2 linked regions of the Alligator mississippiensis genome follow. The protein of the gene in region 1 purifies or fractionates together with the protein of each later gene. This does not show direct contact. Links are inferred from orthologs where the notes say so. Each region holds a gene or a part of one and is shown in the gene's direction. Other genes may lie near its edges.

What was found. Proteins that work in one complex are often made in the same cells at the same time.
Region 2: the proteins of DDX24 (region 1) and NIFK purify together in Homo sapiens (affinity purification with mass spectrometry; 3 studies listed by BioGRID and IntAct, counting the BioPlex papers as one, with this or other methods). This does not show direct contact. The link is inferred for Alligator mississippiensis from reciprocal best matches to the Homo sapiens genes DDX24 and NIFK.

The regions. Positions count from the first base shown.
Region 1 is NC_081825.1:277,182,437-277,186,182, reverse strand, and holds the start of DDX24 (ATP-dependent RNA helicase DDX24), read left to right. Parts: upstream 1-981; 5' UTR 982-1,068; intron 1,069-1,213; exon of another isoform or gene 1,214-1,307; intron 1,308-1,803; 5' UTR 1,804-1,891; coding exon 1,892-1,909; intron 1,910-2,763; coding exon 2,764-3,466; intron 3,467-3,746. UniProt on the Homo sapiens protein: ATP-dependent RNA helicase that plays a role in various aspects of RNA metabolism including pre-mRNA splicing and is thereby involved in different biological processes such as cell cycle regulation or innate immunity.
Region 2 is NC_081827.1:247,264,585-247,268,330, forward strand, and holds the start of NIFK (MKI67 FHA domain-interacting nucleolar phosphoprotein), read left to right. Parts: upstream 1-865; 5' UTR 866-924; coding exon 925-1,044; intron 1,045-1,145; coding exon 1,146-1,274; intron 1,275-2,965; coding exon 2,966-3,074; intron 3,075-3,746. Other genes in the region: TSN (translin), read right to left, coding at 267-332.

The DNA.
Region 1 (3,746 bases):
GGAATGGTGATGGGTGTGTGGGTACATGGTGTGAACTCTGTTCAACTTTCAAAGTGTGTTTTGGTTTGCTACAGGCACTGTTTCTCTCTCTCTCTCTCAGCATTTTTGCAAAAAACAAAACCAAACCTGAAAGTTGGTTAAGAGTCTGAGAGCGACTTGGGTTTTGCATATGCTGCATCAATTAATCGCCTCAAAAGTTATCCGACATGCAGGTTGTAGTCATATTGGTCTAGAGGCAAAAGGAACTGAAGCTTGGGAAGTTATATTTTTATCAGACCAACTAGACACTTGCAAACAAAGTATTGTATTTATCTGAAAGCTTTTGGGCACACCCACCCTTCATCATTTATTTTTTTTAATGAAAAGTTCATAATTTTACAAGTAGGATGCATTTTATCACCTGAATTTTTAACAGGAGGCTCCTACCATTGTTCGAGCAAATTTGCGTCTCCCAGAGCACAGGAACACTAATACCTCGCCACTTAAACTCCTGCCTAGAAGAGCTTTCCATTCTCCTGTGAACTATCAAACACATAACCTGAAGCAAACATGCCTCTACATCCAGCTTGCACCAGGCAGCTTTGAGGTGAAAAGACTGTTTCAACTTTTCCCTGTGCATCGCCTGTACAAGGTGAACTTTTCCAAGCAGGAGACTCCACCACACCTTCAGCTCTCCTGAGAAATATGAATTTCCATTTCTACCTAGAACTTCGCCACTCTCTGCTCTCTCCTGCCCTGTGCATGGGAACGGGTGAGCGTGCCCGAAAGCTTGCAGATAAATGCAGTCGTTTGTTTGCAAAGAGCTAGTTGATCTAATAAACGATATCACCTCTTCCATGAGTTTCGACACCTTTTAATATTAACTATCGTGCACGGGTTGAAAAGATGATACAAAGACAGTCATTACCGCGCGAGGGACAACGCCGACCGCACGAGCACGGCCCGAACCCCCCACCGCCCCCCCGTCAAGCTTCCGGTCCCTCTCACCCCGAGGCCGGATGTGATGTCACGACAGTGATGGCAGCCTCCAGCCCTGCGGCCACGTGGTAGGCGCCGGCGGAGGCAGCGGTGAGCGCAGGGCGCGGGAAGAGGGGAGGCCCGGCCCGGCGGCTGGGCCAGGGAAGGCGCGGGGTCCCGCTCCGAGGGCAGGACAGCGGGGCGGGCGGGCGGCTGCGAGCGCAGGCGGAGGTACCGGAGCCTGGGCCAGGCGGGGGGCGCAGGGCCCGGCCGCAGCCGCTTGGCACCAGCGGCCCCGAGCAGCCTGGCCCGCGGCGGCCTCTCGAGGTGCCCCTGAGAGCAGCTCTAAGGTTTGCAAACGTGGTTCGCAGAACAAGCGCAGAGACTGCCGCAGGAAGCGGAGTGTTCACTACGTTGTTAGTTTGTGTTTTTTGTGGCAGAAGATTGGGTCTGTTAGCTTTGCATACTAGAAAAAACCAAGTCGAAACCACTGTTGTCAACTCTTATGAGTTTACGCTTTGGGAATGTGAAAAATTTAGCTCTTTCTTTTATCTATATTTGTGTATGATTTGTATAGTGTGTGTGAAAGAGATGAGTTTTTCACATTCCCAAAGCGTAGACTTTAAGAACAACAACAATCATGAGAGTTGGCAACACTGCAAAACTGAGAGCTGGCGGTTACCAAGGGGATGAGTGTAAGGAGGGGAAACTGGAGCTTAAAAAGCTGCTGGTTTAGAGTCGGCCTTGCCTGGTTACTTAGGTCTCTTCTGTGGAAGCTCAGATTTTTTTGTTGGTCTCCTAAAAGATATCATCTCTATTACAAGTCCTAATTGCTTTTTCCTTTAGACCAATGCACCTACAACTTGGATACCAGTGCTAACAGTAACTTTCAACCTGGCTGAAGACTCGTCCATCTCATTGCAGTCAGTGGGAGATGAGTTGTAAAGAGCATGTACCCAGTTACCATTTTGAGTAGTAATTTCTTTCTTGGTCCCTTCCTCCATGTTTAATGCTTAATTGCTGCAGATTGATGCAGCAAATCACTGCTTTTCATGGGCATGTGTACTGCCCTGTTTTTATTTGTGCATGTCTCCTGGCTATTCTTTCACCATGTTACATATGTCATTTTGGGAGTTGAGCTGGCCAGTGTGTTTAGCATTAGCCAGCCTGGAGCTCCAGTGCTACAGTTGGCATAGGCAGCCTCTGTGTGGGCCATGACAGATCAGAGAGGGGACAGATAACACCACGGCAGATAGGGCAGGAAGAAGACAGCAGAGCAGGAGATGAAGCAGAGTAAGGGGATTGGACTGGCCATTGGAGAGTGTACAGAGCCCACATAAGAGCCCAGTATAAAGCTGTAAATCCAAGGTTTCCTTCCCATGCTCCCGCCAAAAGACCTTTCAGCACAAAGTGCTAAAGGGTCATGGTTAACAAAACGCACAACAGAGCTATGCGATGGTTTGTCATCAGGGTTTCTTTACTGCAGAGGTTTCCAGTGTCATTTTCAGCAAGAGGCTGATAAATGAGTAATTAAAGATTGTTTGTCAAATTGCATGCGTGCGTTTGGAGTCGCAGTTGTTCTTAAATGTGCAGATTCAAAACAAAGAGGGCCTAGTCAGTGGGAGCAGGACCAAGCCCATAGACTAAACTTCAGAGAAAACTCTAGTTAAGACTTGTGTCCCATTAGCTTTACACATAGATGGCATTATGCACCATCTGCAGTGCAGTGTTTATGCTATATGTTATATGAATCTAGATACCTTGTTCTGCTGATTTTTACAATGATTTCTTTTTCAATTGTTTTAGATCATGATGAAGACAAAAAAGGGAAATAAGTTTAGAGCTTCCTTTAAATCAAAACAAAGGGGTATCAAAGTAGTAGGAAAATGGAAACCTGTCGAAATCGACCCAAATCTATTTGCTGATGAGCAGCTTGGAGATCTGGTGTGCTTTGAGGAGCTTACAGATTATAAGTTAATGAATTCCTCTAAATCTGGAAAAGAAAAAGGCAAGAAGAGAAAATCTGATAGTGTCTCCGAAGAAGAGGATTCTACCATCCAAAAAAAAAAGAGAAAGAAAGGCAAAGGTTTGGGAACTAGAACAAATAAAAATGATCATTCTGAGGAGAGAAATGACGTACTCACTGATCAAGAAGATGAACCTAAAGATACCGTCACATTGACTGATTCTGAGGAAAATGAAAACAAAGCTGAAGCTGCTTTAAGCACAGAAAAAACTTTGAAGAAGAAAAAAAAGAAAGCATCTCTACCCCAGCAAGATCCTCCCCCAGCAAAATCTTCTAAGAAGCTTACAAATTGGACAACTCAGGTTTTATCTGCATCATCTGATCAAACAGCTGATGTGTCTGCATGGAAAGACCTCTTTGTTCCAAAACCAGTTCTTCAGGCCTTGAGTTCTCTCGGATTTAGTGCTCCAACTCCTATTCAGGCATTAGCTCTGCCTTCTGCAATTCGAGATCATATGGATATTCTGGGCGCTGCAGAAACAGGTACAAATGCACACAGCTAGAACATTAAGTACATTCACTGTCACCTTTCTCTCTCTCTCAAAAATGCAGTGTATTGTCATAATTGTAATCACAGGATAAGAACCTGTAAGTTACAGTCCATCCAGTGAACTAGGAAGGGAATGGCTGCAATACAGAAGATTTTACTTTACAGATGAAATATACTGCATTTGTTTTGCATACTAGGACATTCACATGTACAAAGCTTTAAATCCTCCACATAATTTTGTCTGGGGAATCAAATTATATTTGATGCACTTTT
Region 2 (3,746 bases), on another chromosome or scaffold:
GCGTCACGGGGGAGGGGAGGCGGTGCGGCGCCCAGGGACCCCAAACACGGCCCCTCCTCCAACCCCCCTGAGCCCCTCCCCCTCACAACCAGCCCCTCCTCCAACCCCCCTGAGCCCCTCCCCAACCCCCCTCACAACCAGCCCCTCCCCCCCACAACCCCTCACAGAGCCAATCACAAACCCCCTCAAAGAGCCCCTCCCCCCACACCCCCCTACCCAGGAATACCCCCCCCCCCCCCCGTATCCGGGCTCCCCGCCCTCCCGACCTCGCGGACGTCCTGGTCGACGCTGAGGGAGCCCTGCAGGGCGATGAACATCTCGCTGACCGACATGGCTATGGCGGCGCGCGCGAAGACAAGGAGCCGGACTCGTCTGGCGCCGCCGCTGCGGGGTCCTTCGGCGGCCGCGGCGCGGGGCTGCCCTGGCCGCTGCCGGCGCCGCCATCTTGGCCCCGGCAGCGGGCGGCGCTCGGCTCAGGGCGGCTCTGACGCGGCAGCGCCCCAGCAGGGTCCGCCTGATGACACCGCGCCCCCGGCGGCGCTGGAGCTGGGGCTGCCGGCGACACGGCTCCCAGGCAGGCGCGGCACGGGCACGCCGGGTCCTTCCGCGCTCAGGGGCCCTCCGCCCAGCGGGGTCCTTCCGCGGCGCAGGGCTGCCCCGCGCGCTGCCTGACTTAAAAAAACCCACCAAACACTCAAAGGGGCGGGGGGGAAGAGGCTCGTTACCCAGCAACACTACGCGCGCTGCCTGTTGCCTGGCAACCAGGTGCCCCACCCCCGCGCCTGGCAATGACGTCATCGGACAACCGTTACCGCGGCTCTTGTAGCTTGGGGGGCGTGGCCAGAAGTGGAGTGCGGTACTTCCGGCGACGAACCCGGAAGCGGAAGTGGTGCGGAGCGCACCGTGCGCACGTGCGGGAGCAGCATGGAGGCGGAGGTGGCGGCCGGCGGGGAAGCGGCGGCGGCTCCGGCCGCGCTGCTCTCGCTGGACCCGCAGCTGCAGCGCCAGTTCCAGGCCAAGGTGCAGCGCGTCCGCGCCGCCAAGGTGAGCGCCTCGCGGGGACAGCGGCCGCAGGGGGAGGAGGGAGGCTGCGGGGCCTCCCTCGGCGGGGCCTGCTGCTGACGTGCCCGGCCTTGTCCCCGCAGCACGAGAGGCTGACCCCGGGCGTGGTGTATTTGGGGCACATCCCGAAGGGTCTCTACGAGCCGCAGCTGCGCGAGTACTTCAGCCAGTTCGGGACGGTCACCAGGCTGCGCTTGGCCAGGAGCAAAAAGGTAAAACCAAAAAAAGGTGGAAAAAAAGGTTTTGCGTTGCTCTGCCGTTTGGTGGCATCGCGCCGCGCAAAGCCCCCGGGTGGGAGGACGTGCTTTGGGCAGCGGTCAGGCCTTAACCCGTTCTCTACCAGGACCCGCTGCCCCCAGCGCGCGGGGCAGTCTCGGACTCTGCCCGGCTGCAGGCGAAAACCCATGGTTTCCCATGGTTTTTCCCCTTAAAAATGGACTCTCCTTTAGAAGCTGGCTCGCAATCATATATTCTTGCAACTCGCTTTTGGGTCGTGACCTACGGGCGAGCGAACGCTGAACTAGATGTGACCTCCTGAGGTCCCTCGTGGCGCTCCTGTCCTACGATTGTGTTCTCTGTTGCTGCCGTAGCTCGCTGGCTAGGTTCATAGATCTTATGGCTGGAAGGGACTTTGCAAGAGCATCGGGTCCAGCCCCCTGCACCAGGCAGGAAAGATAATGGATCAGGAGATCCCAGCAAGGTGACCGTCCAGTCTCCTCTTGGAGATGTCCAGGGCAGGCGATTGCACCATCTCTGGAGGGAGCTTATCCACAGTCTGGACATCCCAAATGTGAAGAAGTTTTTCCTACTGTTAAGCCTGAATCAATCGTCCAGGATTTTGTGGCCATTACTCCTGGTTTTCCCCCGAGGGTGCCTGGTGAACAGTTGTTTGTTGAGCCCGTGATATACTCCCCTGATGCAGTGGTAAGCTGCTACCAAGCCTCCTCCCAGCCTTCTTTTGAGGCTGAAGAGGCCCAAGTCCCTCAGCCTTTCCTCGTATGGCTTGCCGTGCAAGTCTGATCATACGGGCAGCCCTTCTCTGGACCCTCTCAAGCTTTTCCATGTCCCTGTTGAATTGCAGTGCCCACACCTGGACGCAGTCCTCCAGCTGCGTCTCACCAGGGCCGAATAGAGTGGAAGAATCGCCTCCTTGGCTTTGCTGGAGATGCATCGATTGACGCACACCTGGGTGTTATATTGACGCACACCTGGGTGTTATTTGCCGTATGGGCTCCAGCATCGCACTGCCGGCTCCTGTTCATGCTGTGGTCTTTTATTACCCCCAGGTTTCTTTCAGTCGTGGCTAGTTGGCTTCTTGTCTCTCCTTCTCTGCTTTTACCGTCATAAGTTTCCCCGGTTGGACGTGACCGTTCTGTTCAGTGTTAGCCTTTTCTATGTTTTCTCTGAAGTTCATTCTCGTCTCTGCTCTTCCGGTCTCATAACTGGCACCTTTCTTCGCAACCAGATTCACTTCACTGAGGGACGTTATCAGAGCGGTCAGAATTCACTGCAAGACTTAGAGCATGGTTGAGCGATGGGATCTCTGAGCTTTCTGACTGCTTTGCTTGCATTTAATGAGCCGCGTTTCTACAGATGCTTGTGTTTTCATTCTTTACGTCATCAGCAAGGCAACAGCTCTTCACTTGGTGGCATGAATTTTAGTTGGTCACAGATACATGACTCAACTCTTCTATTTTACTGCGTAACGTGAACATATTTGTTACTTGTGGCGTTAGAGACTGACCTAAAACACGTACAATTTATGCTGAGGGCTTGGAGTTGTTTTTGTTTCTCTGAGAACAGAACGTGACCCCTTGAAGCCTAAGGCAGCAGCTAGAGTTGTTTTGGCATCTGGCACTTAAACACTCCTCTAGTTTTCTGATACTGTTGTTGTCGTCTGCAGACTGGAAGCTGTAAAGGCTACGCATTTGTAGAGTTCGAGTCCGATGACGTTGCTAAGATTGTGGCAGATACCATGAACAACTACCTCTTCTGCGAAAGGCTTCTGAAGTGTGAGTATGTATATCCGATACCTGTTGTGTGAGGGAACGTATTCGTTGCACACACGGGTGTTTTTTCTGGACGCTTTGGGAATTTCTTCACTGCAACATTAGAGTTGCAGCACAAGAAGATTTTTCATATGGACGCCCCAGTTTGCTTGGTTTTTTTATGAGGATTTCTCCCGCATGGGGGTGCCTCTGGTGCTCTTTTATTTCCTACCACTTTCCAATTTAAATTAAAAAAATTAGAACAGCATTTCAAGTCCTAGTGATGGGACCTCTGTTGTCTTTCATGGTATAAAACCACTCCACATAGAAATGTTTTTTTGGATAGAAACTCTTTTCTACCCATGCTCTGCTGCAACCACTATTATTTAATTACATAGATTTACTATGGGTGGGTGGGTTAAAAACTCAGTACAGCTGGCAAGATATTCAGAGATACTGAGCTAAGCACATACCGTTCTTGAAAACAGTAAGAAGTACAGGTGAAAATCAGGCTGTCTTGGAGAGCCCAGTGCTCTGAATCCCCTGCCGCTCCACGTCGTGGCTATCCGTAAAAATGACTAAGGGAGGTTACCTTTTGCTAGGCTGACGTAATGCTGGTGCGTAGTGGGTGGATAACAATTACTGAGTATCAGTATAGAACGCAACATACGGCAGGTCTATGTACAATAATGATTG